4 linked regions of the Mytilus edulis genome follow. The protein of the gene in region 2 purifies or fractionates together with the protein of the main gene of each other region. This does not show direct contact. Links are inferred from orthologs where the notes say so. Each region holds a gene or a part of one and is shown on either strand. Other genes may lie near its edges. The genes, in order: ATP-dependent RNA helicase DHX8-like, RNA-binding protein with serine-rich domain 1-like, E3 ubiquitin-protein ligase RBBP6-like and AMP deaminase 2-like.

What was found.
Region 1: the proteins of RNA-binding protein with serine-rich domain 1-like (region 2) and ATP-dependent RNA helicase DHX8-like purify together in Homo sapiens (co-immunoprecipitation; 3 studies listed by BioGRID and IntAct, with this or other methods). This does not show direct contact. The link is inferred for Mytilus edulis from reciprocal best matches to the Homo sapiens genes RNPS1 and DHX8.
Region 3: the proteins of RNA-binding protein with serine-rich domain 1-like (region 2) and E3 ubiquitin-protein ligase RBBP6-like purify together in Homo sapiens (co-immunoprecipitation; 3 studies listed by BioGRID and IntAct, with this or other methods). This does not show direct contact. The link is inferred for Mytilus edulis from reciprocal best matches to the Homo sapiens genes RNPS1 and RBBP6.
Region 4: the proteins of RNA-binding protein with serine-rich domain 1-like (region 2) and AMP deaminase 2-like purify together in Homo sapiens (co-immunoprecipitation; 3 studies listed by BioGRID and IntAct, with this or other methods). This does not show direct contact. The link is inferred for Mytilus edulis from reciprocal best matches to the Homo sapiens genes RNPS1 and AMPD2.

Annotation. Positions count from the first base shown.
Region 1 is NC_092345.1:83,690,204-83,698,417, reverse strand, and holds the start of ATP-dependent RNA helicase DHX8-like, read right to left. Parts: upstream 3,512-8,214; 5' UTR 3,273-3,511; coding exon 3,179-3,272; intron 1,175-3,178; coding exon 1,089-1,174; intron 600-1,088; coding exon 432-599; intron 1-431. Other genes in the region: integrin alpha-4-like, read left to right, coding at 7,030-7,220.
Region 2 is NC_092352.1:76,793,788-76,801,350, reverse strand, and holds the start of RNA-binding protein with serine-rich domain 1-like, read right to left. Parts: upstream 3,027-7,563; 5' UTR 3,012-3,026; coding exon 2,989-3,011; intron 1-2,988. Other genes in the region: protein-lysine N-methyltransferase EEF2KMT-like, read left to right, coding at 3,193-3,291, 4,625-4,765, 5,833-5,943, 6,566-6,643. UniProt on the Homo sapiens protein: Part of pre- and post-splicing multiprotein mRNP complexes. Auxiliary component of the splicing-dependent multiprotein exon junction complex (EJC) deposited at splice junction on mRNAs.
Region 3 is NC_092352.1:19,424,916-19,433,067, reverse strand, and holds the start of E3 ubiquitin-protein ligase RBBP6-like, read right to left. Parts: upstream 3,794-8,152; 5' UTR 3,650-3,793; intron 1,539-3,649; exon of another isoform or gene 1,274-1,538; intron 1-1,273. UniProt on the Homo sapiens protein: E3 ubiquitin-protein ligase which promotes ubiquitination of YBX1, leading to its degradation by the proteasome.
Region 4 is NC_092348.1:27,887,482-27,896,135, forward strand, and holds the start of AMP deaminase 2-like, read right to left. Parts: upstream 3,430-8,654; 5' UTR 3,310-3,429; coding exon 3,261-3,309; intron 2,005-3,260; coding exon 1,782-2,004; intron 852-1,781; coding exon 816-851; intron 1-815. Other genes in the region: BAG family molecular chaperone regulator 1-like, read left to right, coding at 3,722-3,764, 4,282-4,413, 5,199-5,281, 5,551-5,664, 6,134-6,304, 7,510-7,565. UniProt on the Homo sapiens protein: AMP deaminase plays a critical role in energy metabolism. Catalyzes the deamination of AMP to IMP and plays an important role in the purine nucleotide cycle.

The sequences.
Region 1 (8,214 bases), on a different chromosome or scaffold from region 2:
AAAGGACTGTACAGTTAGATACTCTAGTCTCCATATATATGAACCATTAGAATATTGAAAATCATTCTGAAAAAGAAACTGTTTCCTGTTACATACTTTGAGATTTGACTAACTAACTTTACAGTCTAAATCTGATTCCCAAAGAAAACCAGTATCAGTTTATAACAAACTAGAGGCAGATATAGACGGTTATTCAGAGAGCCCAGCCTCCCCCTTTGAGGGAAAGATTTGGTTGATTATATAGGGAATCACTGAAGCATGACAAGAGCAGCCCCCTCTTAGGCAGTCAGTGGGCCCTCCTTATGAAAATTTCTGGATCCGCCACTGCAAACTTGCTGTACAATTAGACCATTAAATGGCAACAGCACAATTTTAACATATGGTAATAACTAGAAGCCCTTCCTAGGAAATCATTTGTTACAGTAACTTACTAAGACATTGGGATTGTTGGGCATGGCTAAACCTGGGAACAACTTCTTCTGAAGATCTTTATCGGTTTGAGGAATACCCTCTGTTGTGTCACTGCTGTTCTTTTCTGCATCTGGTGGTTTGGGCTTCATTCTATTTATAAGTCGTAACAAGTTGGCCACCAAAGAATCCTAAATAGAAAAAATGTAACTTGACATTCAATATTTATTAAATGATTCTATTATATTATATTTTAAAAGCCTTTAAGGATTTTATTTTAAACAGTAAATTTAAAAAGGCTGATTAACTGTACAGGAATATTTCAAATCTTGTTTAAATCAGGAACTTAGCTATTGAAAAAGCCATCTTGAATATCAATAAGATATTATCCCCTGGACATTAGGAAACATTATATTTCAATCTTAAAGGTGAGTTTAACTTTCAAATGTTTAGTAACACATGAACCAGAATTAAGACTTTTTAGTTCATTTGAATCATTCTTGAAACAAAAAATTTGCAAAGCTAAAATGTCCAAACTCTCTTAAATGAACTTTTAAAATCTTGGTCCAAATAAGAGATTGACATAAATGTAAGTAAAAACAGTACATAAGTATTTTTTTTAATTTGCAAATAAAAATGACCAGGCCTAAATATAATTCAATACTGTGAAATTTACTCACTGAAAATTCTGCACCATTTTCATCCAACACTTTCTTATATTTTTCAAATGTGTCATTTTTCTCAGCCAAAGAAATCACAAACTCAGCTACATTAAATACAAAAAAAAAATCAGTCAACATTAAAGGTATATAATCATCAATGAATTATTCAGACTACACATGTACAGACTTCATTAACAAATTGTTCTATCATGTTGTCTATCTTATTAAAAAAATATTGTTGATTGCCTATATATATTAATTCAATAACCATGATAACTAAACCAGATTATTCCAGTGATCTTATTTGAGCTTGAATGCACAAATGTATGTAATCACCATAAGACACATGAAGTATATACATCAATTCAATTATATAATTTCAAGATTATTGTAAAAAATTATGTGTGTTTCCAAATTTCTACGCAATGTAAGGAAATGTTATGCAATGTATGCCGGGATTAACATTTTACTGTATTCTTTATCACCAGGGGCGGATCCAGCCATTTTAAAAAGGGGGGGTTCCCAACCCAGAGTAAAGGGGGGGTTCCAGCTACATGTATATGCTCCCATTCAAATGCATTGATCGTCCAAAAAAAGGGGGGTTCCAACCCCCGGAACCCCCCCTCTGGATCCGTGCCTGATCACATTCCAGGAAAATATTTTCTTAAGCTTATAGGACTGTGTTGTTTGTTATTGTTTATCTTTGTTTGTAAATCTGATATTGTTTTAGAGAAGTTAAAACAATTTTGTTCATGACAAAACTCTGATAAATCTTTAGCTACTTCAAATTTATGTTGTTTGAGAACTATTGAAATTGAAATGCTGAGACTGACTGATTTTACTTGGAAAAATAATTATGATGGTCAACTATGAGGCTAATAAAAAATTAGTGTATTAGTGACCCACTGACGGGCGTCACGGCAATGTATGTCATCACAACTTTTAACACATGTTGTAAACTTTAATAAGCTGAGGGTCAGAAACTTGTCAAAAACTTGAAGACAAGTAGAACTACATTTTTCAAAAAATTTTGTATAATAATTTCATGCGAAAATATTCATAGAGTGGGGCGCCCATATTCGCCGGGGACACAATTTCGCCGTTTTATGATTTTGAGGTGTAAAAACTTCAAAGGATGCATGGCTGAAATGGAAGACATATACCGGTAAATGATATTATATAACAAATATGATTATTTTTTATAACTGAGACAAAATTGCGGAACCTACTGAAAAGGACCGAAAAACGGACAACCATTTTCGGCCAATTTCCTGAAGAAAAAACAGGAATTCAAAGAAGTATTTCTAAGTAATTCTTTGACTGAATGCCCCTAAATTTCAGTTCTTAACACCTTTGAAATGTCTGCTATCATCTATTATGAAATCAATTTGATCAATGTTATTAAAAGCTGCAGTTATTTGATTTTAAATTGATGTGTAAAAACGGCGAATATGTGTCCCCCATTGACATAAAATCAGGTAATTTCAAACACCCTTTAATCTAACTTTTCTGATGATTATATTCAAACAAACACGTTTTCAAGCTTAAGAATATTTTGCATTTGAAGTTATCTTCATATAGAAATATCAGTATACTTCAAAAACATTCACACTTGAACAGAAACTGTAGAAAATATGAAAAGATGTGGCGAAAATGAGCACCTCACTCTACACTTACAAAATTTAAATAAGTGACGAAATTGATTTAAAATACTTTTGTCATTTTGAAAACTGTTTTGTAAATCACTAAAATGACAAAAATGATGAGCAATTACAAAAAACTAACAAAGGATATACAATGGTTATACCTATAATAGTAAGGTAACAAGGGTAATGAAAACAGTGTTTAAAGTACATGTATGTCAAATGTATGTAGCGTCAATGTTTAAAATAAATAAAACTGTCTCTAAGTAACCGACATTACCCTTCTGAAGCTACATTGTACTTATATGTGTAGTGTATAGACTGTTTACAAGTACCACTCCAAACATTGTCTTGCTAAACAAAATTATCTTGGATCTACACCTGATGACATTCGGGAGCATATCAGGTAGTACCTCTTTGATATATATTAGGTTTAAAGGAAAACAATTTATAATACACACTTACCAAGATCTTTGTCATTTAGACCTAAGTGATTGTCAAGCTCAGTGCACACTTTTGACACCAAAGATAAATATTCTAATTTCTGAAGTTCATTCATTTTAACTGTTCAATAAAAACAACCTCTCAGATATGAAAAACTGATGATCGTTTGTTCAGTTATGCCAAATTTATGTTAGATTAGAGGAACAAACATTTAAAAGTGATGATTTTTTCCCACATGATATTTTTTGTTTACAAAGAAGTTCGTTTTTGATCGTAGTAGACGAAAAAGGACTTTTTGCAAAAGAGTTAATACAAGGGAAGGTATAATAATTTGAGGCTCTTGAGGGAAGTCTCGAACTTACGGAAGCAGGACAAATCGCCCCACTTGCAAATCGCCCAACACTAAATCGCCTCACTTTTTAAAAAGGCACTGGCTACGGTTACATGGAAATGTAACAATAATAAAAATATTATTGTTACATTGGAGACTAAATGCCGGAATGCATGGTTGGGTAAGGACCTGTTTAATTACGAATGTAACAATAATTATTGAGGCTACGGTTACATTGCGTTATTGTTACATGAAAAAAAGCAATGCACGATGGGACTATAGTAATATGTACTAAATAATAAAAGTTGAGGACATTTATTACATGCATTTATAACATACAATTTATTTACTGTAATTTTTTATTTACAATGACAATTTCTACAAATCCAGTAAGCAAGTTGTTTTTAAAGTCCGACACATTTTTGATGAACGAAATTACGTCCTCCACGGATACGTGTACATACAGAATTTCTTAGTATTAAACTTTACAGTTAGCAAACTTTGCTTTTGATTATCAATTTGCGTCAAGTTATAGTTTTAGCTGTATGAAATGTATGTCTTGATATTGTTTCAGTTTCGTTTAAAACGCATCCCAAGTTTTATTTTTTTCACCATAAACAAAATTGGTCCAAAGTATAATGACAGTAATAAGAGTAGGTGTGCAGTTAAATACTGTAAAAAAGTGAAACCATTGAACTATATTTTTCGCCTTTGACAGTCACACTCATAATCTTGAGTAGTATCTTTAAGAACATCAAAACCATTAATACGTAGTAAAACTATTCAAGTTGTACACCATTTGTTGAATAATAATATTTTATTATTTATCAGTATTAAATTACAAGTATTGTTTAGTATATATGAAAGAATGAAGCAATACAACTATAGAAGATTTAAGTTTAATCAATCTAGCGTACATTGCTGTTTTTCATGTAACAATAACGTAATGTAACCGTAGCCTCAGTAATTATTGTTACATTTGTAATTAATCGGTTCCTCACCCAACTTTGCATTCCGGCAATTAGTCTCCAATGTAACAATAATATTTTTATTATTGTTACATTTCCATGTAACCGTAGCCAGTGCCTTTTAAAAAATCGCCCCACTTGTAAAATAGGTTAAATCACGTTAATTTTACTCTTGCCAACTCTCCCGACTTATTGAAAAAGTTAAAATTTAGATGAATAATTTTCAGTCTGCCAACTCACCACACTTTAAAAAGAATGACAACTCATTGTCAATAAAAATAATTCCACAAAGACAATATTTCATGACTATGCCACGGTATCATGAAATCAAGTATTGTTCAGAGAAGGGCACATCTCCATTGTGAAATTCTCTCTGTATATAGACAATATATCACAGCTGAATATTATGTAATAGGGGGAATAAGGGGGGGGGGGGGGTCCGGGGGTTTGAACCCCCTTTTTTGTACGATCAAAGCATTTGAATGGTGACATGTAGTTGGACCCCCCTTTTTGTCCTGGGTTAAAATGGCTGGATCCGCCCCTGCAAGTATATACACAATTCATTTAGATGTCTGCATGTGGAATCAGTTTCATGAATCAAGTGTTTTTGAAAGATTTACTGACACTATAACGATATATATGATACGCGAATCTCTTTAGTATATATGTAAAGCAAAATATTGTCCTATGAAATACTGTACACCAAAACAATATTTCAATGACTATGTCACTATCATGAAATATTGTCCTCATCCTGGGACTATTATACTTGTTAGTATGATAGTCCCAGCCTCATCTATGAAATGATGTCCAGAGATGAACATATCTTCATTGTGAAATTTTGTCTGTATATAGACAATATTTCATAGATGAACATTATGAAATTTTGTCCTGGGAAAGGGAGGTTATTTGTGTGTGAAATGAGACTAAATTTCCGAGTTGAATATACCCACGGAGAGTGATAATCCACCAGTAGAGGTATCGAACCAATTACAAAACGTTGTAAATGTCATGCGTCCGAAGCGCCTTTCTGTGTTTACCTTCAGTCAGTAACAATTAAGAAATAATTCATGGAAGCCATAGATTGTTGGAAATTTACACATGGCCTGGGCCGTGATATTCGAATATTATCCTGAGCGTTAACGTTAAACTACCAAATATTTTAAAACCAAAAATGTGCGAAACCGATACATTTTAAGAGCTATATGACCGAAAAGGACATAAAAGATAGCCAGATCGATCTATGGATTACTTATCCTGAGGAAGTTGAAACCTTAGTTTCATTTAAATTTCAAAATTGATAACAGACAAATCAAAAAAGGCATGCTATAAATCATATCACTACCGATGTACTGACAACTGAGTTGAATGTATATACCATCAGTGAGTAATAGTCCACATGCAAAGGTATCGATCCAATGCTGTAAAAATGACAAAAAATACGTTATAAATCAAGTTTATGAGTCCTCTGCGCCTTTCTGAATTTACCTGCGACAGGAACGCTCAAAGCAAAATATGGTGACCACTCCCCCCCCCCCAAAAAAAAAAAATAATAACCTAAAATAAGATGTTGGCTTCTGACAGGAATTTCATTTGTGTAAAGCTTGCTATTGATTGGTGATCTTTCAATTCGAAATTTAACAATTAAATCTAAAGAATTGATGTAAACATAAATCTGCCGGTCACAGAAGTATTTCTCAGTCTGTCCATCTTTCGTCATTTGTAAAATATGAGAAGATTTTACTCATGGTAATTACAACTGATTTCATTGAGTGTGTAGGCAATGGCATTATTAGGTTAGGTAAACTACCCTCCTTTGATAGAAGACTAGTTCGACAAATTACCAATCTATCTGTCTGTTGGGCTAGGCTACTTCGAAAGGAGGGTAGTATACCTGACCTAATAATGACTTCGCGGTTTAGCTAACAAAAAAGCTAACCAAAGACATTACCTAAAGCCTTCACACTCAATAAAATCGGCTGTAATGGATTTCATGTGGAACATTACAGTAACTACTAGCCTTTTTGCATAATTGTTCTTTTTTTGTGGGTTGTTGAATGCTAATTAAAGCAGCTTGTATTTTTTCGTACTACGGGTATATGGTACTATATACGTCAATGTTTTGTTTCGCTTGGTTTCGTCTAACTTAGATAACAATACTGACCAACTTATTCCAGATTCTGTTATTTGTTTATTTTATTTCATAATTTTATCATGACTAGTGTGAGGCAAAGAAAACAATTGACCGTGTATAGTCAATCTCAAGTGTATATACTTATTTCCAATGATAGGCCACACATTTAAAGGGAATTTGGAGAGTTCAACAAATACATTTCGTGCTTTCTTATCAAATACTTCAATAATGATAAAACACAATCTATACTATAGAAGACCCATTATTTTAAAGATAAAGTTGTCAGTAAAAATAGTTTTTTAAACCACACAATTATAACACGTGTATAGAGAGATTGAAAACCTATCCTCTGACCTTTTGTGGTTTAATAACAAATGGAAATTATTACCAGTACGGCTATGGACAAATTAAGTATATATAATAGAGCAACTGCTCCGACATGATAAATGCAGTTTCAACTGCAATGGATTTTATGGTGTTTATTTTTAAAACTTACATTTGTTTACATTATCTTGACAGTATTACACATGCATATAATTTAGATGAAAAGAATGTGATGCTTTTTAAAGGACCCACCGGAAGTTATTTTGGGTATTCTGTTGGAATCCTGGAAAACAAAAACGGAATCATGTAAGTACTAAAAAAAATTTGGACCGATAGGGTCATGGACTGCTACTATGTCATACGAGGACTCAGGTACCAACCACATTTTGTGGCGACTGTTAAATTCGTTGCAAGGTAAAGGGTGTCACAAATTCATTTATTATTACACTGTTCATGCATTTTATCAGACTGAATAATAAGTTAACCAGTGGTACGGGGTTATATAAATCGACGTAGTTATACCGAGACATGCAGCTCGCAATAGATTAATTCTGGGAGGTTCTGAATTTTATGTCACAGTTTTTTTTTAAATTGAATTCACACAGGAACATCTATATTGATAGATATACCGTGTTCCCAGATTCACCTTGAGGCATGCCATTTTTGGCCATTCGATTTCTAATATTGTACAATAACTATGCATTAAAATAAAATTAGTTTTTAACATGCGTAAATTATAAACAGTTTATAGTAATAGCGTGTGATATTTTGACTTGTATATATTGTTAAACAGATATGTAAACTTTTAGATGATTCACGCAAATTAGAGCAACAGTAATCATATTTAATTACATATAATTCGTGTTATTTGTAAATCTTGGTACAAAAAGTCTAGGCCATTGTGTCATATAGACGTATTATACACGCTCCTTTCATATAGCTTTAATGTAAAGATCTGAGACTGATTATTAAGAGGCCCTTTAAAGGTTTTTGTAACTTTGGTGTATTGCGTGTAGGAAATTATAAAAGTAGGACGGTGGTGGTTAAACAGGTTGGAGGCCCTCACTAAATGGAGAAATATTTCCACAAATGAGTAACCATCCCCCTTTGAATTTGCTGCTGAGTTTTCTTTTACATGAAATGGCACAAATGTATAGAAAATGCAACAAAGTTTCAATAAAAAACTACATTTATTAACGTGGGTATAAAAAAGGTGGATATATAGCAATAAAATAAACAATGCTTGCATAGGCTTGTAACTTATCAATAAATCAGTTTAGGAGTATATTCGTCTTCAGTA
Region 2 (7,563 bases):
ACAGGTAAAACTATCAATATTAGTTATCAGAGAGAGGTGAATTTCTTGAATCACTGCGTTCTAATGAATTCTGTTGAGTAACCTTTAGGGGACTCAAAATTTCTGTGGAAAAGGGTTAACTATTAAACTTTCTATTAAATATGCATTTCAAATTTTGAGGAATGCTTAATCAAATTGGCTTCATTTTCAATACAAAAGCCAAGCAAACAGATACTTTTACACAATCCTAAAAGAACTGTAAAACGAAAATTGTGTCCCCTCTACATGTATTTTGTTGATTAACAAAATAGCCTTACATGTTTTAAATGACAGTAAAAGCAAATGCTTTTAAAAACTGTACATCAATAAATTTAAGTAAATTTAAATACACAACTGACACAACTACAGCATTGTAATGTTGAAGGTTGTCAAGACTCAGAGACTTGAGGGCATACGATAGTTACAGGGGAGGTAATGACGTTGCTACCGTAAATTGTTATTTTCGCAACGTCAAACTACAGTGTATGACTTATCGGGAAAGATTCAGTTTTCGACTGATTTTATCATTCAAACTTATTTCACTTGAAAACGAGTTCATGAACCCCTCTTTTTCAAAATGCCATTTGGTTTGATTACGCAAGATTATTTTTGCCAATTTTCATGAAAACGTAAATAGTGCAATTTTTTAAAATTTGATAAATAAACAGCAATAAATGATGTTTTTTCTACAATTATTTCTGAATTAAAAAAATGAATAAATTTTTAGGATACTTATAAAATACATAAATTACAAATTATTTAACAAAAACAATTTGTGATCTTTTAAAACAAAAAAGTTATGTCTTTCTTTCGAAAAGGAAAATACGGCCACAAGTCCGAATTTTTAGCAAATATACAAAATTTTGACCTCATTTTACTCAAAAAGTAGCACATGAAGGCATATTTTTTATTACATATTTGATTTAATCAGGTAAAAATAGTTTATATGGAAATTTTTATCAAAATGTAAATACGGGACCAAAACTGTATTGTATGCCCTTCAAGTTGTTAAATGCAGTCTTCACGCTTAACCGGGTATCCGGTCGTTCCGGCCCCAAACCGATCCGGCCCCAAGTCAATCCGGCCCAAAGTCGATCCGGCCCAAGTCGATCCGGCCCACGTCGATCCGGCCCCAAGTCGATCCGGCCCCATAATAAAATAAGAAATAACTATATTGATCTTGGAGGAAATTGTGACACAGTATAAATGGAATTTGCAATCACACCACATCTTCCTATATCGATATATTTTTCATAAATTTGACAGTATTTTGAATAGTTGTGTGTAGAAAAAAACACAAGTTATATGAGTATCCATTATTCTTTATTGCAAGAAAGGAAATGTTGAGTACATATAACAGAGAAGAATTGCTACAGCAGATGACAATATTTAATAACAGTTTCGTATATTTTTTTTATTGAAGAATTTATTAGACTGTCATTTCAATAATTACTTACTTCCATGTCTTCTCTTTTATAGATAGGATTCGGCAAATCTAACAACATTTCTCAATTTAAGAAATTTTAAGAACTTAAAAAGAAAAACAAAGTTTGTATGTATCAGCTTGGGGATCGGCTTGTACCGTTGTGTATGTAACTATTTGTTATTACACAAGATGAAAAACTTGTTAGGATCACAGTCAATTGAAAGAAAACGCTAATTACTGCTGATTAATGTTGATGTCTGAATTGTTTTAATATAATTATACCCAATAATCTTGAAAACTTGTAATAAAAACATAATCAACCTAGTTGTTTGTATACTCATCTGAAGAAATTTTTTTTTTTTACCGTACGCCTTTACATTATAATAAAAATCATAAACATTTATGAATTACTTTAATATATATCTTTATTTTTTATCCTTATAAATATACTTTTTTATTGGGGCCGGATCGACGTGGGGCCGGATCGACGTGGGGCCGGATCGACGTGGGACGGATCGACTTGGGCCGGATCGACGCGAAAGCGCTTAACCGTACGCAAGTCCTACGGCATTGGCATGTAAAATTGCTTTCAGACTTGTAAGATTCTCCTCTACAAGCCAACAGAATACTACTAAAATTTTCCAAAAATTGGGCTTCTGGCTTGTGGACTCAAAAGTTAAGCATGAAGACTGTAAATGTCTTGTCATTTGGGCTCTGGTGGAGAGTGGTCTCATTGTAAATAGTGGTACTGTACATTTTGTATATATATGGATTCTTCATTTCCAATGACAACAAAAATCAAAAGATGTTAACTCTGTTGTTGGACCAGTATAGAATAGTGAACTGATATTAATCAATATTGATTTTTTCATTCATCATGATATATCAACAAGTATAAACTATACACCTTATCGCTAATCCCGGCTGCTTGAACTTTTGACACATACAACAATCACTTTTCCATTATGGCGTCAGATATTTTTTTTTATGACGTCAAAATTTTACTGGAACCTGTGTGATATTCAGTAATGGCGGACAAATAGCGATAAGGTATATCCCGGCTGCTTGAACTTTTGACAAGACAACTATTACTTCTTTATTGGGGCGTCAGACAAATACACCTTATCGCTATTCCCGGCTGACCCGTCCGTTTGAACTTTTGACGTCAACAACAATCACTTTTCCATTGTGGCGTCAGACATTTTGTTTTATGACGTCAAAATTTTACGGGAACCTGTGTGATTTCCAGCAATGGCGGACAAATAGCGATAAGGTGTATAGCTATAAGGTGTATTCATTCTTTCAATCAATTTATCAATATAAATTAACCTTTTTTGGCATTAAAATGAGTTTGTGCAATTAAATATTTGCATAGGACTTCTGATTAGTTCTGTTACTGCATACTACAACCACGAAATGTAACAGGAAACAAGAGAAATTATTTTAACAACAGATACAGAAAAGGGGGGTCAATGCTTAGAAAAAAAACCCATTCCCAATTTTTCTTAAATTCTAACGAAAAAGGGTAATTTTAATTATTAAACGTTTCAACAATCGATGTTGACATTTAAATGCAGGTAAAGTAGATGGATGGCTACGATATTAATGGATTAGAAAAATTAATTCTTACATCTTTGAGGTAGAGGTTCTGACGCCGTTACACTTTAAAAGCTCGTTTCTGATTGGACGAAATATGAAGTCTTTAAATTGCCTGCCAATGAGAATTTCTTTTACTTTAAGGAATAAAAATGGCAGCCTCCATGAGCTCAATTGATACCAAAGTTATTTTGCATGAAATTTCATGTCAATTTTTTGAAATGGTGCCGATAAGGCGAATAAAATGGAGAGTTAGTAGTCATATTATGTTTGTTTTCCGTCAATATACTTATATTTATCCAAATGTTGAGTTTTCTGCGCAGGGCTTACTATACAAAAATTATCTTTGGTCTATATCGAATCCGGGTCCGTTCGCGCCCATTCACGTTCGCACTCACTCATGTTCGCACCCAAAGTCCGTTCGCACCCTACATGTTCGCGCCCAATCTTAATTGGTTTTGTGCTTAATAACTTTGTAAGCAAGTGTATTCTTATAAATATAATTGTTGTCATTGTCACAAAATAAAGTGAGACATTTTTTTTTGTGTTGAATAAATCTTAATTATGTTTTGGATAGTGTTTTGTTAAAAAAAAATAATAATCCTTTCTAAATAAAGTGGGATTCTGTCAACGTTTTATTTTGTGTTGAATAACTCTCAATCATGTTTTGGTTAGTGTATTGGCTATTGCTATAACTTTGTTTCATGGACTTGTTTCAAAATGAAGTGAGATTCTGACTACGTTTTTTTTGGTGTGTTGAATAAATTTTATCATGTGATGTTTGATTTTTTCCTGTTCAATCAATAATGACAGTGAAATAGTGAAATAACAATTCACTTTTTGCAGCCTAAAAGGTTCAATTTTGTCAAATTACGCTAAGAAACATTGATAATTAGTAATTCACTTGCAAGTGAATGAGTCGACCTCTTTAAATCCGTATTCATGTGAACTTCAATTTAACCCCTAGCTAGAGATTGACAACGCATGCATTGTACGTCATGTACGTGTACTGGTTATTTAAAAAAAAAGAATGTCAACAATGAAAGTGAAACTACGGTAAATCATTTGATTACTAATTTGATGCACATATAATCATTTCTTATACGGTTAAAAACAATGAGAAACATCTATTTTTGATCTATAAAATAAAATCAAACAGACCTATAAAAATCCAATTGCACATGTTGGTTTAATCTAGTCATTTCTTTATTTATGTTTACAAAATGTACATCGCTTATATGGTCATCTGAGGTTAAATCGATAGGTAATTAGATGGCGTCTGGACTAAAATACACACGAAACAAACCTATATATTATCTACCCCATGCTCTGTAAACTGTTTATTTTAGACTATTGATAGTTTGGATAAAATATTACATTGCTATAAATCAAATATGAGAATATGAGTCAAATCGGTGACCATGAATTTGACAGCTAGTGCCCCTTTAACATAAGTTTAATACTATATGATAAACAAAAATTACCATTTGGACATTGAGCAAACAGTTACACCAATCAATAAATCCTTAAAAATTGAAATAGTATTATAATAGCATCTGTTTTATTTTTTACTCTTTTTTCCAGACAGAGCTTATTACAAGTGCACAGATTGGTCCAGAGGAACAGAAGGCTGTCCTCAATGCCACAGTTTTAAATGAACTTTGCAAAAAATATCCTCCGTCAGTATCCTACCAAAAAGCTTTCACGAAGACCCTACTTCACAAGGTTTGATTAATAATCAGAATCGTATTTAGTTAATGTTAGAATACATGACATATTGGTTTGAGTTGTCATGTCAAGCAAAATTAAATGTTAACTGTGCCCGGAAATTTAGAAATGATCCATGTAAACTTGTCGCTCCTTTAAATAAACTTATTCTAAAACTTAAAAAGGTTACCTATTCAATACTGTAATAAGATCATTGAATAATGTTTTTATTGGTATAAATATTGATTTTGTTATCAGTAAATTAAAAGCTAAATAAATATACATATTCATTGAACTACAATCTGTCGATACTTATTATTTGAATCTTAATCAAACTCTCTCATAACTTTCATGATTATGCCAAATAAAAAAGTATGTTTGGTTCCAGTTACATCTGAAAAAAAGTTAGGTAGGTTGGAATTTTTTTTATATTTTATTATTTTTTTTTTATATTGAGTCCATGGGAGCAACATTCTGACTTTAACAGTGCTTAATGAAAAATGAAAATAAAATCTTTAGGGTAGGCTATTTTTAAGCCGAAAAAAGTATAGACGGTAGGGTTACTGGAACCACACATATATTTTTATTTGGCCTTATTAGAAATGCGAGAAATCATTACTGAGAGGGATCAACTAAAATAATTTGTGTCCACTGAAATGCATGTTGTATTGGATTTTTTCGTGCAAAGATTTTTGGTATATTGTAAGAGTTATCTCCCATTTCAATAAATGATGTGAATAAAAGTTGATGTCAGATATATGTGACAGTGAATGAGACAGCAACCCTACATGTATGATACATAAAATCATCAATACAAATTTAAAAAAATCATATAGGGTAAACTTGTATAAACATACATACATGTTTTCTATGTTAATTACTCATTAGATCATAAAATATTTAAACATTGTAACTGAACATCACATGAAATATGATTAAAGATAGCTCATGGTATGACTTCAAGTGTAGGACGTTGCCAGGACCAACAATAGAGTATCTACAAATATACCTGTAGCTGGGCATGAATCATTTAGGAATAATTGCAAAGACTTGTAGAGTTTTGATATGTAACTTGTCAATTTCAGTTAGAGGAAAGTGAGGTTGAAATGTGTGATGAAATCTACGAGGTTTACACAGACCTTTTACAACAGACTGAAGACGAAGATGACATCCTTTGTTACAAAACATATCATCTGGTAAAATCAGGTTTCTACAAGGTTCCCTTGTTTTTGTTTTAATTATAATACCCATGATGTCACATTGTAGACATGTTTTGATTTACATTTCTGACACAAACAGATACCTACATGTACATGTACTTTCTATTCAGGGATTCCCCTGCAAATCCCATTTGAAACTGAGGTTAAACAAACAACTACAACTGCTACTTGTAACAGCATCTCATTATGATGACATAATTTTTTGCCAGAAAAAGTGTAGGGTTTTCATGAAGTAAACACCAAATATCATTCAGATAAGGCTACTGTGGAGTATACTTTTTGGTGCTTCATTACTAATCTAATGAGTCAACATTCTTTATTCATTATTATGAAATTTGTTGATCATCTTATCAGAAAAGTAAATACATGTATTGGTAATGCTTTTATATCTCATAATAATATCTTTTAAACCAGGATATGTAAGCTTGCAATTGATGATTTCAAAATTAAAGAATCATAAGGATTATAGCATTTAATCAAGATACCAAAAGCAGTCTTCAACATTTGATTCGAGGTAAAAATAAAAAGCCTCAGAAAATTATTTGTGATTTATCTTTGTTCTGTCAGTTCCAATATTTATTTGTATTTGTTCTTGCAGCCAAATAGTGAAACAGTAAGCCTACAAGAATCAATACATCTCATATCCCAAGGAACAACTGGACTGAACACATGGCAGGTATGTCAGAGAGAGAGGCATTATGGGAAATGTAGTTACTTGATGGAGAATATGAGTATCACTTTTATGAACAAATACTAACATGAACCAATAGAGCTTTTGTCACGACTGTAAACAAACTTTTATCCTGATGTTACAACTCACACATTTTTCCTTCTAATACTGGTATATATATATGTTTAAAGTCATAAGAAACCTCAAATCAAAAAAAAATAATGCATATGATTTTAATAACTCAATGGATAGTTTTCATTATAAAACTTATGTACATGTACTTTTTTCTGAAGAAAATTCTTTAATTTATTCATATTTAGAAGAAGTTTACTTTATTTGAATAGCTTCCTTCCAGCAAGCAATTCCCCCGAGATATTTTCCGTATGCAAGGTGACCTCAGTGTGACCCATCTCGTAAAAATCCGGTGACCACAATACGCATGGATGTCCTTAAAATAAACTATTATCTGAATTTACATGTTAAACACGTGCTCAATTTCCATGCTTTTTTGTTTATTTTTCGTCAATTGTTGACAAACAGGTGACAATCGTTAAACTTCGGCTTCAAGACACGAACTTTAATTACCTGCCATATTTTCACAACAACACTGACCGATTGAAAAAAAAATTGACAATTATACGAAATTTACACGAAAAAAATGATAAATTCGAGCACAGAAGACTAAGTTTATGATGTTTGTATGCATTTGTTCAAGAATTGGAAGAACATTATTTTTCACCGGTCACTCGTTTCTTATGACTTTAAGGATAAAACAGAAGAGAAACCAAATTCTTCAAATAAAAAAAAATTAAGATGTGACATAAATATATGATGACTCTTTAGAAGTTCCTGACTTTGAACAGGTAAATATTTTATGCACTTTCAGAATGAGATCAAACAAATACGTGAAATATACATTCAAGGGG
Region 3 (8,152 bases), about 57 Mb from region 2:
TCAATTTAATAATGTTCAGCTTTTCTAAAGAAAAAAAAAACGTTTGTCTTTGAATTTCTTTAAATATTAATAAAAATTGAAAATATTTGCTGACAAAAGCAACTATGATGAACAAAAAGGGCCTTTATTTTGATTTTGACGGTCTGACAAAGTGAAGTGAAGGAGTGAAAAGTGACTTAATCTCCCCAGTTGCCTGCTAGCGTTAGCCTGTAAAGTGCGTAATTACAGAATCAAATACTAATTGGCACATGGACTATTAGTGACAATAAAACACATTTTTGACAAGGTTTATTTTCTATAAAAGATTTTTTTTTATGTACGCCTGTCATACATCCATGACATGTATTTGGTTAGTAAAAATCAACCATTGCCTTACCTGAGCAAGTCAGGTAATAACGGGGTGAGGGAAGCATGAAATGTGTGACGCAGGATGGCTGGTAGCTGAATAAATTTTAAACCGATTTTTTTATCTTGTCTAAAAGATGCGTTACATTCTTTGCCTTCCATTAACCAATTGAACTTCTTTAAATTTCGTAATGCCACGACTCAGTGATGAAAATCGCAATCAAGCCATCGGTATGTTACAGACATGAATGAGTCAGCGTGCTGTTTCAAGACATTCTAATGTAAGCAACTCAGCAATCAGTTGTTTATTTCAATGCAACAGATTAACAGGAACAGTAAAAGATCATCCGAGACCCAGCCATCCACAAGTAACAATGCCCCAGCAACAAAATGCCATCAGACTACATCATTTGCGGAATGGATTCACGACGGCAACGCCAACCGCAAAACAAACTACTGGACGCATGGCAGAGCAATAAATGCTAACACAGTATCCCTTATCCTGAGATGTCGTCAAATTCCCTGCAGGAGATCCTATAAAGGAATGATTTTGACTCCACACTATAGACGAAATCGACAGCAATGGACCAGGCAACAACTGCAGCAGCAGAGAAACTGGAATCGTGTGGTGTTTTCCAATGAATCATGGTCCAATGTAAGTTTTGCAGACAGAAGAACAAGAATATACAAAGAAAATGAATGTTACCCAGATAACTGTGATTGAACGTGACAAATTTGGTGGCGGAGGTGTAATGGTATGGGGCGCTTTTAACACAAATTTTCGGACACGGTTGGTTATTGTCAATGGCACATTAACAGCTAGACCCTATATTGATGAAATTTTGCAGCCAGTTGTCGTTCTAAAGCTACGATGTCATAGACAGTTAAATCAATTGTCATTCCAACATGATAATGCACGTGCACATACCGTTAGGTTGACTCGAAACTTTTTGAATTTGAATGGAGTAGATGTTCTGGAATAGCTTGATCTTTCACCACTTAAATCCTATTGAACACATATGGGATGAGCTGGACAGCTGTTCTCGTCTGAATCTGACGACTACCACGGCTGAAAATGGTATCGCATTACAACAGATATCATATGGCAAAACATCCCCCGCAAAACAGTCAGAAACCTTTGTCAATCAATCATGAATGCGAACAAGATAAAAAGCTGTCCTACGGAACAACAGTGGCCACACCTGATACTGAAGATTCAAAACCAGACTGTAAGTGTGCATGGTTTGTACCTCATTACTTTGACATGAAACATTATGTCATAGCTTTCTCAATTGACAGTCAATTTTGTCTTAAATGTTGAAAGATTGATTAAATATTCATATGTACCATGAATTTGTGTAATATATACTAGAAAAAAAAAAAGAAACGATACCCAATTTTTTTACATAATAATTTTTATTAACAAAAAAAATGTATTGCAACTAGTTGTATATTCGAAAACAGTCATAAGTCTGTAGGTTACTGCACTTTTGTTTTTGTTTTACAAAATAATAACGTCATTTTAGCGTATTTTTGATTTTTGAGTGGAACCACATTTATGTCGTCCGAACACGGGTCTTAAATTAAATGAGGGTGATTCAATATCCGGTCAACACAGGTAAACAAAAGGTAATTGAAGGTGACATCCAAAAAAGCCGTTTTCAAATGCCACGTCTAGGTCAAAATGACCATGATAGAGCAGTGGGAATGGTACAAGCAGGTATGCCCCATATTGACGTTGCACACAATTTTGGTGTTTCCAAATTGACAATAAATAGATAAATGAGTTGTTCAACACAGACTGGGTCCTATAATGACAGACGACTTATGGGACGTCCAAGAGAAACGACGTTATGCCAAGACCGTCGAATAAGATTCACTCACCTCTGGGGTCGGTTTTTGCCAGCAACATTTACCGCAAGACAAACACCAGGGAGACATAATCCAAGGATATCGGCCCAAACTGTACGCAATAGGCTAAGAGAGGTTGTTTTGAGTTCATGACGTCCAGTAGAAGGAGCCATTCTAAAACAGCGCCATCGATCTGCGCGGCTATGTTAGGCAAATGCACGTTTGTATTGGAACCGTGTCAGGTGGCAAAACATCATTTTTAGTGACGAGTCCAGATTTCGCTTACATAGAAGTGATGGAAGAATGAGAGTGTACAGACGTCAAAATGAACGCTCTGCAGATGCATGTGTGCATGAATGTGATTGCTTTGGTGGTGGTGGTGTGATGGTTTGGGCAGGAATCACACATTGTGGAGGCACTAACTTGAAGTTCATAAATGGAAGTCTTACTGGATTTCATAATCGTTACGAAATTCTTTCTCCAATTGTACAACCATTTATTGCAAGGCATGGGAATCGGCATACTTTTCAACAGGACAATGCTAGGTGCCAAGTGTATGCACACAATATCTTGGGCAGAATAACATAGACATTCTTCTAGGACCAGCTTTATCGCCAGATCTATCACCCATTGAACATTTATGGGATGAACTTGACAAACACATACGCAGACATCACCATCCACCCATATCAGTCAACCAGCTACGAGCTGCCTTGGTGGAAGAGTGGAATAACATTCCACAAGCATTTATTCAGCGTTTGATTGGACCAATGCGTCGGAAATTGCCTGCTGTTATCAACTCAAAGAGGTGGCCATACGAGATATTAACTTTTCAACTTTTGTTTTTTTCAAAGACATCTTCAAACAGTCTGTGCAATAAGGAATGATTTGATATTTACTTAACTGTTATCTTTGATACGTTTGTATGCTTTTATGTTATTGTTCCATAAAATACAAAACTCAAAAAACATTGTTGAAAATAAAATAGATATTTTTGATAAAAATCTGGGTATCGTTTCTTTTTGTGGCTATATTATTCATTTAATTTGATAAAATCTGATTTAGTTTGGTGTTGTGTTTCGTAAGTCAGTCAGTATACAAAAACATATAATCTGACCATAACTTTTGTACTGCCTACTGCCGAACTGGTTATAAAAAAACATCAGCCGAACAGGTATTTGTCTATTTTTCTTTATGATTATTTCAGTAGTTTATTGATTCAAAATTGATGCACCCGTCTCTTGACTGTAGTTGTACTTAGGCAGGAACTGTTACAAGGAGCAGTACATTTCCCATTGTATTGCTAGAAATCATTTGAGAGGTATGTTACTTTTCTTAGCCATGTAAATTTGGCTAAAAAATAAATAAGTTTAAACCTGAACATACAACTTATCGTGACACGCCGTTCTGATTAATCCGTTAAGATTGAGCCTATAGTGTAAAAAAAACTTACATGTATCGTATAAACACAGCCAATAAGTTCTAATTCTAAAAAAAGTCGTGACATTCACATTGTGTTAGCCTTGCATATGGCGTCATTCTGGAAAATCCTCTCGTATATTCTCGTGAAACATCGTTGGACACAGTATTTAGTGGATTGGATCTGAGGACGGATATTTGATCTGGTATATCTAAAGTACCAAAAACATGGGAAGGTCTATTTAAACAGGACAGATAAAACCCGGACAGAGTTTTTCGATACGTTTTTATCTGTAACTTTTGTTTAACTCCTCATATTGTTAAAGAATATTGCATAAGAAAAAATGCATCCAATTTAGGAGCAAGAGTTGAATTAGGAAGATTGCCTATAGAATGTTTTATTAAAACACAAACCCTTTTATATTTAGCTAGACTATATAATAATAATATTAATCCATTGTTAAAGGAAGCTTTTTCTCTAGCACAGTCTCTAGATTTGACAGGAACTTACTCATGGTATACATATGCTAAAAATATTGTTAAAGAGACTAAAGTTGACCTTAATATTCTTTCTACTTGTAAGGACATAAAAGATGTAAATAAAATAAAAAACGATATAAAGTTAAAAATGAAAAATAGATATGATTTAATTCAAAATAAATTTCAAAACATCGATAATAAAAGTAAATTTTTTCTCTATAAAAAACTTAAAAAAGATTACAAACTAGAATATTATCTAAATACATCTAATTTTCAGATAAGGAGATTAATCACTAAATTTAGAATAAGTGATCACTCCCTCTTGATTGAAAAGGGGAGATATTTTAAAATCCCAAGAGAGGAACGTCTTTGCCATAAATGTAAAATACTAGAGGATGAGAAACATTTTTTACTATCTTGTGAGTATAATAAAACTCTAAGAAATGACTTTTTTCATCACATATGTACAGAAAATAAGAACTTTAATAATTTAAATGAAGAAGAAAAAATTCATTATTTACTAAATCCATCATCGCCTTTACAAACAAATAAGTTAGGATCCTTCTTGAAAAAGTCATTAGAACTGAGGGCAGGGGACTCTTAACAACTTGTTTGTTGTTATAAATTTTAATGCTGTTGATATTTTGTATGTTTAATATGTATGTATATATGTTTATTGTGTTTATTGTATTAATATATGTTGGTCACAAACTGTAAAGTTTATATGACAATAAAATATTTGATTTGATTTGATTTGTTAAAATTTAAATTGAATAATAAAGAACAGGGTATTTAAAAAATTAACAAGTTAAAAAAAATCTGCCAGGACAGTTATCTATGGTTATATTTTAAGAAAAAAATGGCTAAAATTGCCAAGAAAAGTTTACTTATAATTGAAATATTTTCTACAAAACAACTGTCTGGCATAATATTTTTAAACTATTGTAAAGTTTATGGAATATTAATTTTAAAAAACTATAATTTTTATTTTCCTTCATCTTTTAAAGGTAAAAAATCTACTAGGACAGTTCGTGTGACCTTTAATTTACATCCAAGGTCAAAGGTCACCGAGTGCAAAATATTTTTACGCTGCAATTTCAAGCTTACATATTAAGAAAACTATAAGAGTTTGCTGAATACATACTGTGTATAAATTTTCCCCTCGACGAGCTCTACATTTTATACATTAAGCTAAAAAATGTCCGACCGTCTGTTCAAAACTTACAATGAAATAATTTCTTTAAAGTATAGTTTTGTGTGTTTATCTTTTGAAAGGTAACAGATAGCAACCTACTATAAACTGCAAAAATGAACTGTATTTTAAGACCTTCAATTTGAGGTCAATGTCAGGTCATGATGAAATTTTACCTTGACCTTCAAAGTGTACTATGACCTTGACCTTGTGACATTTGAAAGGTCAAGTGGTCCTGGGTTGAATGGTGGTAGTCCTATGTCTCTACGACTTCCGGTTCTCAAGTTTGTTATTGTATCAAATTTTTGATGATTCATTGTGACCTTGATGAACTTTGGAATTGTCCCAATTTTTTTGTACAATGTTGTCCTTTAAGTGCATATCATTTATCACTTAGCAGATTTGAGATATCTGCTGTAGTTTCAGAGATAATTTAGTTTGAAGTTTTGCAAGCGGAGGCATGTATTTTTGAACCAACAGCAGGTTGAAATTTTATGAAATTGAAGAGTTTAACATGATTATATGTTTGACCAAAATACCAAAAACATTCAATGAAAAAAAAAACCACCAAATAAACAATTTGAAATTTTCATGTTTCATAACTTCTATTTAGGTAGCAACCATTTGATTTTCGGGGGGGGGGGGGGGGGGGGGGGGCTATGGATTTTTTTCCGGACAAGCTTTTGTACCAAAAAATGGGTTGGGTGGGGTCAATGAGTGCAAAAAAATAAACTTTCTTTTAAGATAAGGTTGTTGTATATCAAATGAAAGGTCATAACGTGTACATTTCAAATATAAAATTCCTGACCTCCAAAAATGAGTTGGATGGGGTTATTAAGTGCAAAAATCAAACTTTCTAGAACATGACGTTGTCGCATATCATCAAGTCTTGAAAGATCATCAAGTCTATGTTACATATGTAGGACTCTAAAGTGTAGGCGGATGAGGTCATTAAGTGTACAAAGCGAAAAGTTTCAAACGGTATGCTTGTCGTATATCAAACGAAAGGTCGTGCAAAGTACATTACGAAAACATCCCTTTTACAGGAAAGACCTGGGGCCGTGTCAATGAAAGTATCCTAGGATATGTCCTAAGATATGTCTTAGGACATTATTTAGGATGGTCTTAGGACGTGTCTGAGACATGTCTTAGGATGTAAAACAAAGCTGTCTCAGGACAGTCCTAACTACGATGGTCATAAGACCATCCTAACACATTTATTTTATTGAAAAAAATATGGAGAGATTTCTATGACATAGATTTTATTGTAATTTAGAACCTATATGTAAAGATAGGGAGGATGACTCTTATATTGAAAACAATTAACGTAAAATTAAAGTTAAAGTTATAACGTAATACTAATAAATACGTTATTAAATATGATAAAAGATATAAATAAATTTAATGCGAAAACAAAGGTAAATAGTAACAAAACCTAGTTAAATGCGACAGTCGTGCAGCAATTATAGTAAACTAGTTTTGTACTTAGGTCCACTCGATTTCATTACATGTTTCGAATCAGGATTATTAAAAAAGAAGTAATTTTGTCTCCATATTTAAATTAATATTGGACCGTTTTGATAAGTCGAAAAAAATGTTGCTTATGATGATAATATTTTTTGGGCTTAAGCACAGCATAATTTAATGTAATACAATTGAATCTTTAACAAATATTGAAAAATATTTTGTTTTATTAATTTAATTCTAATAACAGTATATGATAGTTTAATATTGTATTGGTATTTTTAGTATTGAGTTTATGCCATATTTGTTGTTTTTATTACGGTTTAGGACATTGTAACCTTTAGAACTATCCTAAGACACCTATTTGTATATCCTAACTTTAGGACCAAATTTAGGACATATCTTATTTTAGGAGACTTTCGTTAACCTGAGAGTCTGACTCAGGACTAAGACGTGTCCTAAGACCATCCTAAGACATGTCCTAGTCCTAGGACAGCTTCGTTGACTCGGCCCCAGATTTAGATTCAATAGTTTATTAAAGTATCACCACATACAACATGATTAAAACAAGATACAATTATAAAATTAATTATACAGTAAACATAGTTAAAACAATTAAATAAATGTATGTGCCATTCTTAAAAGAATTATGAGAGACTATTAAAATACAAATAATACTTATTCATTTTATAAAATACTACAAATACAGTAGTTAATGATATAAAATACCGTTTCTCCTTGTTAAAATGTTATTGCAGGTTTTGGCAACAATATTACAAATATTGGTATTTTTAAACATATACATAAATTTTTCTTCATCAGACAAGTTTAAAAACATATCATTATGACACAATATATCAATAAAAAGAGCATGTCTTAGATCTTTATACAAGGGACAATTTAAAAGTACACGTTTTTCATCCTCTAAAATATTGCAGTTAAAACAGACTCTTTCGTCTAGATTTTTCCTTTCATATCGACCAGTTTCAATTTTTAATGGTGCTACACCACATCTAAACTTTGAAAAAGCACTACGATGGCGCTGTGGCATTTTCTGTAGCAAATATTGCTCAGTGTTATAAGTATGTTTAAAAAGTTTATATGTTCTCAATTTACAACCGGTACTATATGAAAAAATTCTTGTACACCAGTCTTTTTTATATTTATCAAACATTTTCTCTTCTAACTGAGATATACTATAACTATCAAGAAAATTTTCATTTATTTTACAATATCTTTCAAAATCAAAGGATTTCAACATCTCCATAACTTTGTAGCACCAATTCTTTAATTTACAACTACCTTTCATCACTGACCATTTAAAAACTTTATAATTAATTCTATTATTGTCCATTTTTGTACATTTAGACCAGTGTCTGAAAATATTTATCCACTGTTTAA
Region 4 (8,654 bases), on a different chromosome or scaffold from region 2:
ATGGTTACATACAAAATATACATCAGGATTATGAATTAGTGTTAAATGTCTAGTGACAAATATCAAATGCATATAGGATGAGAAAATGTTAATGGGATATGAATATTGTACTAGAATGATACTTTGTCAGAGCCAAAATTTAAAGTTTAGTTTCACACAGTAACTTATCACAGGAAGATATATCATCCTACCTGTACACGTAGTTCTGTCTCTATGCTGACCAGTATTTGTTCTTACTCATAAATGCTGTGTGCTTACCCAAAGAGCCACAAGACCACTGAGGGGGTTGAATACATGTTTCAATTTGAAATTCTCATACACAAAAGATAAACAATGAGAACTTTATTAAATTATACTACATTGTAGTGCAATGCTCCCTTCCCAAATTACACATGTTTGTTCATAATTCTCCTCTGTTCACTAACTAATCAAGTTATAAGCAGCACATATTCAAAGCCTGTTAAAAATCTGAATGCAGTTTATCACAGTGAACACTCCCAATATGTAAATACAAATATTGTGTCTCAAAAAACAAATGTCCAGTTTTTCATGAAATTTTAATCATAAAAAAGTCCAAAGAAACAACGTTAAATTGCATTAATTTTCTACTTCATCAAAATAAATTTTTACATTTTCAAGAATTTTCACTGTGTTTCAGCATCCAGATGCATATATACATACGCTTACATGTACCATGAGATATATGTGTGCTTTACTTAACCTACATGTAACAATTAAAACTGAAACAAAAGAACATTACAATATTTTTAAAAACAATATTATCATGCACAACATGAACATTCCCTGAAACTCACTTTTCTTCAGCTATCTGCTCCAATGATCCTGTTGGTCTGAAAATAGTTATCTAATTGTGATAAAAAAATGAGATGAAACCTAAAAAAATGGTATTCTCTTATAAAAATATTTCTTGAGTCTAAAAAAACAACATGTTTCTGCTAACCTAACCTACTCTATATTTTCTATACAGTTTTTTTCTCACCAGGTTTTAACAAGCACATTGAAAATCTGAATGTTTCTAGAAAGTCGATGAAAGTAGTTCAAACTTTTTGAAATATATAACTACTTGTTTATCATGCTTATTACATGTATTAATCTCCTAATTTTTTCAACATGTCAGAAAAAACAGGGTACTTCTGAGTGAAAACAGAGGGGGGAAAAAACAACAATTTGAAAAACCAACAGTAAAAATAAAATTCAATTCAATGATAAATTATTTCTCACCTGTTCCAACTTATAAACAAATTGAAACAAAAAATCAAGGTATGATATATGTTAAACTATGGCTATGACCATGATGACCATGATGATATAATTATAGTGTTATAGAGGGAAAAATTCACACAATACAAATAATTAAAGATGAATGGTATTAAGCAAGGAATAAATTTTTTTGAAGCAATGAAATAAAAGATTAAAAAATTTCATAGACTTAAAACTCATTTGCCTGCATTTTCAAATTATGCCTTATGTTTTCCCATTTGAATGGTTTTACACAAGTCTAGTCATTTTTGGAGCCCTTTATAGCTTGCTGTTCGGTGTGAGCCAAGGCTCCATGTTCAAGACCGTACTTTGACCTACATGTATAATGGTTTACTTTTACAAATTGAATGAAAAAAAAACCTTGCAGAGATTATTTGTTCAAGTAAAAACACCATTTCAAACAACTGTTAGTAAAGTCAAAGTCAAACAATGCAACTTCATTCAGCACTCAGTGACTTTATATATATATATGACTACACAAGCTACATGTATATATTCACCTTGTACTCAGTTGTCTCTCAAAATAATTCTTGCTCTCATTTTCTTCTATTGGATATTCATCAATCTCATATGGTGCAGAGCTTTTATAATGAAGTTCTGGTCCATCTGTTTTTCTCCGTAGCATAGAATCAGCAATTTCTTGAAATTTATCATCTGTAGGGTTGTGGATATGTTTAGGGAATTTCAACTTAGCAGGTGCAAATGTAGGTGAAGTCAGTCCATCTGAAAACAAGTTAATATTTTTCTAAAAAATATTAATCGTATTAATCACATATTCTAATGCAACAACGTTTGTAACATTCATTTTGATTGGATAACGTCACTTTCTTACATGGCATCAATTGACAATTGATGCTATGGGACGTACGCGTATGCGCAGACGGCATTTGACCAATTTTAAATACATGTTTTAACGTTGTTTCCTGTCAGTTTCATTAGAATGGAGATAACATTATTGTATTTAAAGCTCTGATGGCATCAATTTGGGATTTGATGGTCGCAAAAACCCGTTTGCTGTCTCCGCTAACGCATCGCCAGTAAACTTAATTTGCGACCATCAAATCCCCAATTGATGCCGTCGGAGCTTAAAATACAATACAGTTATCTCCTAATTCTAATACACACAAGTTGACAACCATTTGTCATGTTTGTCAAAATATTGTTAACATAATCTACAATAAACATGATAAATTGTCAAACAAAAATTGTCAAAAATACCACTTATTAAATACAGTCAGACTGTCATACTTTTTACAGTTATTATGAATTGAACTATTGCATATATTGCATGCATTGTAATCAGTACATTTTGTTTCATAAAGGTGTTCTTTTCTTAACTTCAATTATCAAAAGAAATACATGTATAATGGATATATCTCTATATGCATTGCTGAATGTATTTTATTTAAAAGTATAAAACCAAAATTGTATTACTGCATCATATTTATCAATATGTTTGCTTGAAATAGGAATTAATAGATTCAATTTTCTTCCATTCTCTCGAGTCAATTGGTGCAGATTTCCAAAAAGCAATTATGGCAATAGGGTGTATTTATTCTGCTACACAATATATTATACACAATTTTTCAACATAATTATTTGGACTATTTTATATTATGACTTCAAAATTTGACAGGAACCTTTGTGAACTCCAAATACGGATAAGGTGTACAATGTTGTATACAAATTTGCCTTTAAAAAATTAATGTATTAAAAAAGATAATTTTAAGAGTACAATGGAGTAAGATCCTGAAATTTTTTTATGATCAAGTATTAAAGAATTTAAGATTGGTTTGTATATATGGTTAGCTATTAATTTATGAGTATGTACATTCTACACCCCAGTTTCACTGTAAGAACATTTTTGATGCAAACTACCCTGATCCATAACATGCAGAAATCATTCACATTATATATAAATATAAGGATGCAGACGTTTGACCCTAGTGAACTTGATGAAATCAATTTTACATATTTACCTGCAGCGGCTGGCCTTTTCTTTATGTCATTTGGTACGTTTCCGTTCATTTCGAGTAGTTTTTATCCTAATACACAAATCATAAATTGTTTGAATATAACAATTGCATCTGACAGCAGCAGTTTCGCCAAATTACTTTTACGTATCAAGATTCAGTAAACATTAGAGATCTCGTCCAAGGGACATAACTGATCTAGAAGGCCAAGAATATGTATTTTTTTCCTTTGTTATCTTGAAAGCGAGTATTGAAAATTGACTAAAATCACAGTGTAGTTTGCCATGTTACATATATGAAACATTATTGACATAAAATAAACAAACGTAGATGTAATCAATATTTTTTAGCTTGATAACAGTGTTCGGATTTTACTCCTGTCTCCTCCCTTGACCTGTGGTTTAGAATTTATTTATGAATGTTGACATTGGCAATCAAATTTATTCTTGGAAAACACAACTATCAACATGACAGACCAAAGACACCGCATAAAATTAAATATCAAACATGGTTTTTATCAAATATATTTGTCCATTCTAAAAAAAATGCATTTTACCTGTGTGAAACGGGGACAAAACAAAACATATGATATTGTTTGTTATTTTCAACCAAAACATGCTACATTGTACTCACTGGGCCTACAAATAACTGCTTTTTTCAGTGTCTGTTCACGCATTTTTATATTCACCTACATCATTGATCATCATTGTACATTTATATGAGATGAAAGCTGTGGGTTGTTTATTGTACTGATCGAGGGACGGACAAAAATTTGTCAGTGGAAAATCTAACTCTTACACTGTTGTGTATAATTTTCAGACATATATACGTCTGAACCAGTGACAACTCTACAACAGATTTATCCATCGGATCACCAGCAGTGATATATATTATGATTTTTATATGAAAACTACAAGATATTTAAATTATTTTTTTTAAGATACAAAGAAATTGTTGCTGAAACGAACAGCATGTTTTAAGTTCAAGTTTTATTCTTGTTTATACAACACATCTTGCTTCTTTACAGGTTCAGTCCGACACAGCATTATTTTAGAATTACCATCCAATTCCTATGAGGTATTGAAAGTCCAACATTTGATGGACAAAATGGTGGAGATGTTTGGAATACCTCTTGAATGTCAGAAAATTGTTCATAAAGGTAAACATGGTAAAATGAACAAAGTTATAAATATGATAATGTAGGGATAATTAGTTGTAAGAAACAAAATTTTCATGTCATCTCCTGCAGAAATAACAGAGGAAACATAAAAATAAACAGTTAGAAGTATGATTAAAACATTTGTTGGCCAAATACTGATTGAACATTCTTGAACTCATGTGCTTAAAGATCCTTTGAAATTGATCATATTAATTGAATTAACTCTGTATGTATTGCCCTTAATAGGAGATTCCAGTTAGAAAAAGACAGAAATAATTTTCTTTAAAGTATTAAATCAGTTTTTAAGACTGATGGTTGATTTTATGTAGACCTTGTTACTCCAGATAAATGTTTTAAACAATGTCTGAAAGTTGTATATTTACTGAGTTATATCCCCTTATAATCCATCATGGTGTCTAGAAATATAACTAATAAGCGTTGACCAATTCAATTTTGTTCAGTAATAGTATTCAAGACTGATATACATTTGAGAACAAATTATAAATTTATGTGAGGGATAAAATAGTTTTTGAGAGAAAAAAATGTAAAAATTCTTTCATATAAATAATAATGATATGGGAGCATCTTTAAAAATTTTGAGTATTATCTTCTGTTGTTGTGGAGTCAAATCAAAACAAAAATGAGCACTACCATAGCACATTTTCAGGGATCAATATTGTTCGACAGTTTCATAATTTTTTTCTCAAACTATCTGAGAAATACTTATAAAAGTTGATTGTCAAATCTCATAATGAATTATGAATAAATTAAGATATGAATTTCAGGAAAGACTTTAAAGGATCCCGGTGATATATTGAGTGAAATAGGTGTCAGGGATGGTGCGACAATAATGTTATTGGGGAAGAAGGTATATTTTAAATTGCAAAGTTATAAAAAAAAAAATAGTATCAATTTTTTTTTTAAATTTACAAGAAAGTTATAAGCATGGTAAAAAATTACAATTAGGAAATGTTATCAATGAGCAGTTCATTAATTTACTAAACTATTCCGAATCAGTGCATACAGGAAGAGAGTTTATGATAATCAGAACAGATGTTTTTAAAACTTCTTTAGAATTCTCAGATATATTCAAATAATATTTTGAAATAGGATTTGTTTTCCACACTTTATTTATAGCCAGATCCTATCGAGGACAAAGAAATGAAGAAGTTATCAGATATAGAAAAAGATGTAGAGAAAAATGAAAAGAGATTGAGTGATATCACATATGAATTAGATGGTATTCATAGAGTAAGTAAAATATTGAAATACTTTACCACCACTTTATAGACAATAAATCACAACAATCACATCGAATACTTGATTTTCTTCTTTGACATTCACCATTAAAGACAGGAAGGGATGACAGACATACACACCTAAAATTATAGTAGTCTTTTGTTAAACTTTCAGCTTCATTCCGATTTTGATAAAACTGGAACGTATTTCATATTCAATTTAAATTTAATTGTTTTAAAAAAATATATGAGTTACTTCCCTTAGCCTTAACATTCTCTTATTGATATTATAGATTGACTTGGCAAATTCAGCAGTCAAGAAAATTGAAACACTGTGTTTTATGCAAACATACCACATGATGCTTTTTTAATTTGATGTGTACTCTTTTTTTTTTTTTGTCTTTTTTGTAAAAAGTTTTAAATATTTGAATGAGAAAAAAAAATGTTCTGAAAATTAAAATTATTCTAAATTTTAATTTCAGGGTTATATAAATGATGATTTGAAGTTACCAGCCTTAAACCAATTAAAGAAAAAACTAGGAGGAACTTCAGAAATATTTATGAAACAATTATTATCTTTAGATGCCTTAAGTTTTGAGGAGAGTAATAAAGGAGGAAGAGGGAAAAGAAAAACTATAGTAAACAGAATACAGGTAATTATATAAACATTTGATTACATTTTAAATGTGATTATCAAGCCTCGATAAATGTATATAAATATTCTCATTTGTAAATTCGGTAGTTAATTGTCACCGATATATTTCAAAACTGCAATTATACTTTAAAATTGAGAATGGAAATGGGGAATATGCCAAAGAGACAACAACCCGACCATAGAAAAAAACAACAGCAGAAGGTCACCAACAGGTCTTCAATGTAGCGAGAAATTCCCGCACCCGGAGGCGTCCTTCAGCTGGCCCCTAAACAAATATATGCTAGTTCAGTGATAATGAACGCCATACTAATTTCCAAATTGTACACAAGAAACTAAAATTAAAACTAATACAAGACTAACAAAGGCCAGAGGCTTCTGACTTGGGACAGGCGCAAAAATGCGGCGGGGTTAAACATGTTTGTAAGATCTCAACCCTCCCCCTATACCTCTAGCCAATGTAGAAAAGTAAACTCATAACAATACGCACATTAAAATTCATTTCAAGAGAAGTCCGAGTCTGATGTCAGAAGATGTAACCAAAGAAAATAAACAAAATGACAATAATACATAAATAACAACAGACTACTAGCAGTTAACTGACATGCCAGCTCCAGACTTCAATTAAACTGACTGAAAGATTATGATTTCATCATATGAACATCAGGCACAATCCTTCCCGTTAGGGGTTTAGTATCATACCATCATAACATATATGAGAAGATCATAACCCGTGTCATGCCAACAACTGGTTTTTGAATAAATGTGTTTAGTTCCGATGCAAAGACCCTATAAGTGAATCAATATTAACGCCAAAATATGCAATCTTTAATGACCTGACAACAGTATCGTAACTATATACCTTCTTAATAAGTCTATTCAAAGGTTTTGTTAGTTTTTGAGGTGAATATTTGCATGCTGATCTTTTTACATACAATATAATACACGTATTTGATCAGGGTGACCCATTGTGTGTCATTTCCATTGTGTAGAATAAGGGGGTGTTAGAGGCATGTTTTACTTTATTGTTCAGGCATGCAATTGGCGAACAGATGGTATTTTGAAAATATCTTGATAATTGCAAGATAAAATTTTATCGTATTTTTTTGTGTGTATTTCAACAATTATTTCTAACTTTGAAATTATACAAACATGTTTTACAGTTTATTGTGTTTTAGTACCTTTTTAATATTGTTGATTTTGCAGGTTTTGTTAGACAGATGTGATGGACTGATGTCAGGATTAAATGACCAGATAGCAAGGTTGTCTATATGAAATGCACCTTAGTTACAGTATACCTCACCTTTTGTTTGCACTGCACAGATTTTTACACTCAAACACTCAAATTATATAGAATGTTTATTTGTGCTTTGAATTGTGTGTTTGTGTATTTGAGAACTTTTTGCAACTTATTTCTTTGTTTGAAATTGCACATTTTATATTACTTTATTAAACAATACTATTTTTGCTCTTTAATTTAAAGACCCCCTGTGAGCTATTGCCATCATTTTCCATCCATTGTTTTCCCCTGCATGATGCTGTAGGTATTACATATAAATATTGAGCATGCATCTGTGCGTTTGTCCACTCACGATAGCATTCTCAATCTCATGTGTACAATTCTGGTCGGATTTTTATAAAACTTATATCAGTGGTCAAAATTAGCATAAAACTTATATCGGTGGTCAATATTAGCATCAAACTTATATCAGTGTTCAATATTAGCATCAAACTTGTATCAGTGTTCAATATTAGCATCAAACTTATATCAGTGGTCAATATTAGCATCAAACTTATATCAGTGTTCAATATTAGCATCAAACTTATATCAGTGTTCAATATAAGCAGTGTCTTTGGATAAATAAAAGAATGAGTGCTTACCAACTAGTTATGTCCCTTTGAATTATCAATCATATTAAAAGTTGCATTTTAAGTGCTCTCAAATGTACAATATATTTTTACATCATAAAATATTTCATTAAAATATTTATTAAAAGGTTAAAAGAACTAAAACCATTTTTTTTAATTTATTACCCTTAGAGAGATAAACTATGTGCAATGTGGGGGACATTGGAACTCTCTTCCTTTTTTATCTGTATCTTGCTTGCAACGATAGAAAACATAAACTATTTGTTATTTCAGAAGGTAGAAGACCTGAATGCATCATGCCTTGTATATTGATACCTTATGTTACAAAGTTTCCAGTTGTCATATCTCCATCAAATTGTCCTTTACCTCATTTTCACTTTCTGAGGTCAGGATTAGATGAACCTGCCATTTGGACATGTACACTTTACAATCATTCCATACACCAAATATAGTTGACCTAATGCTTATTCTGAGATAATGTG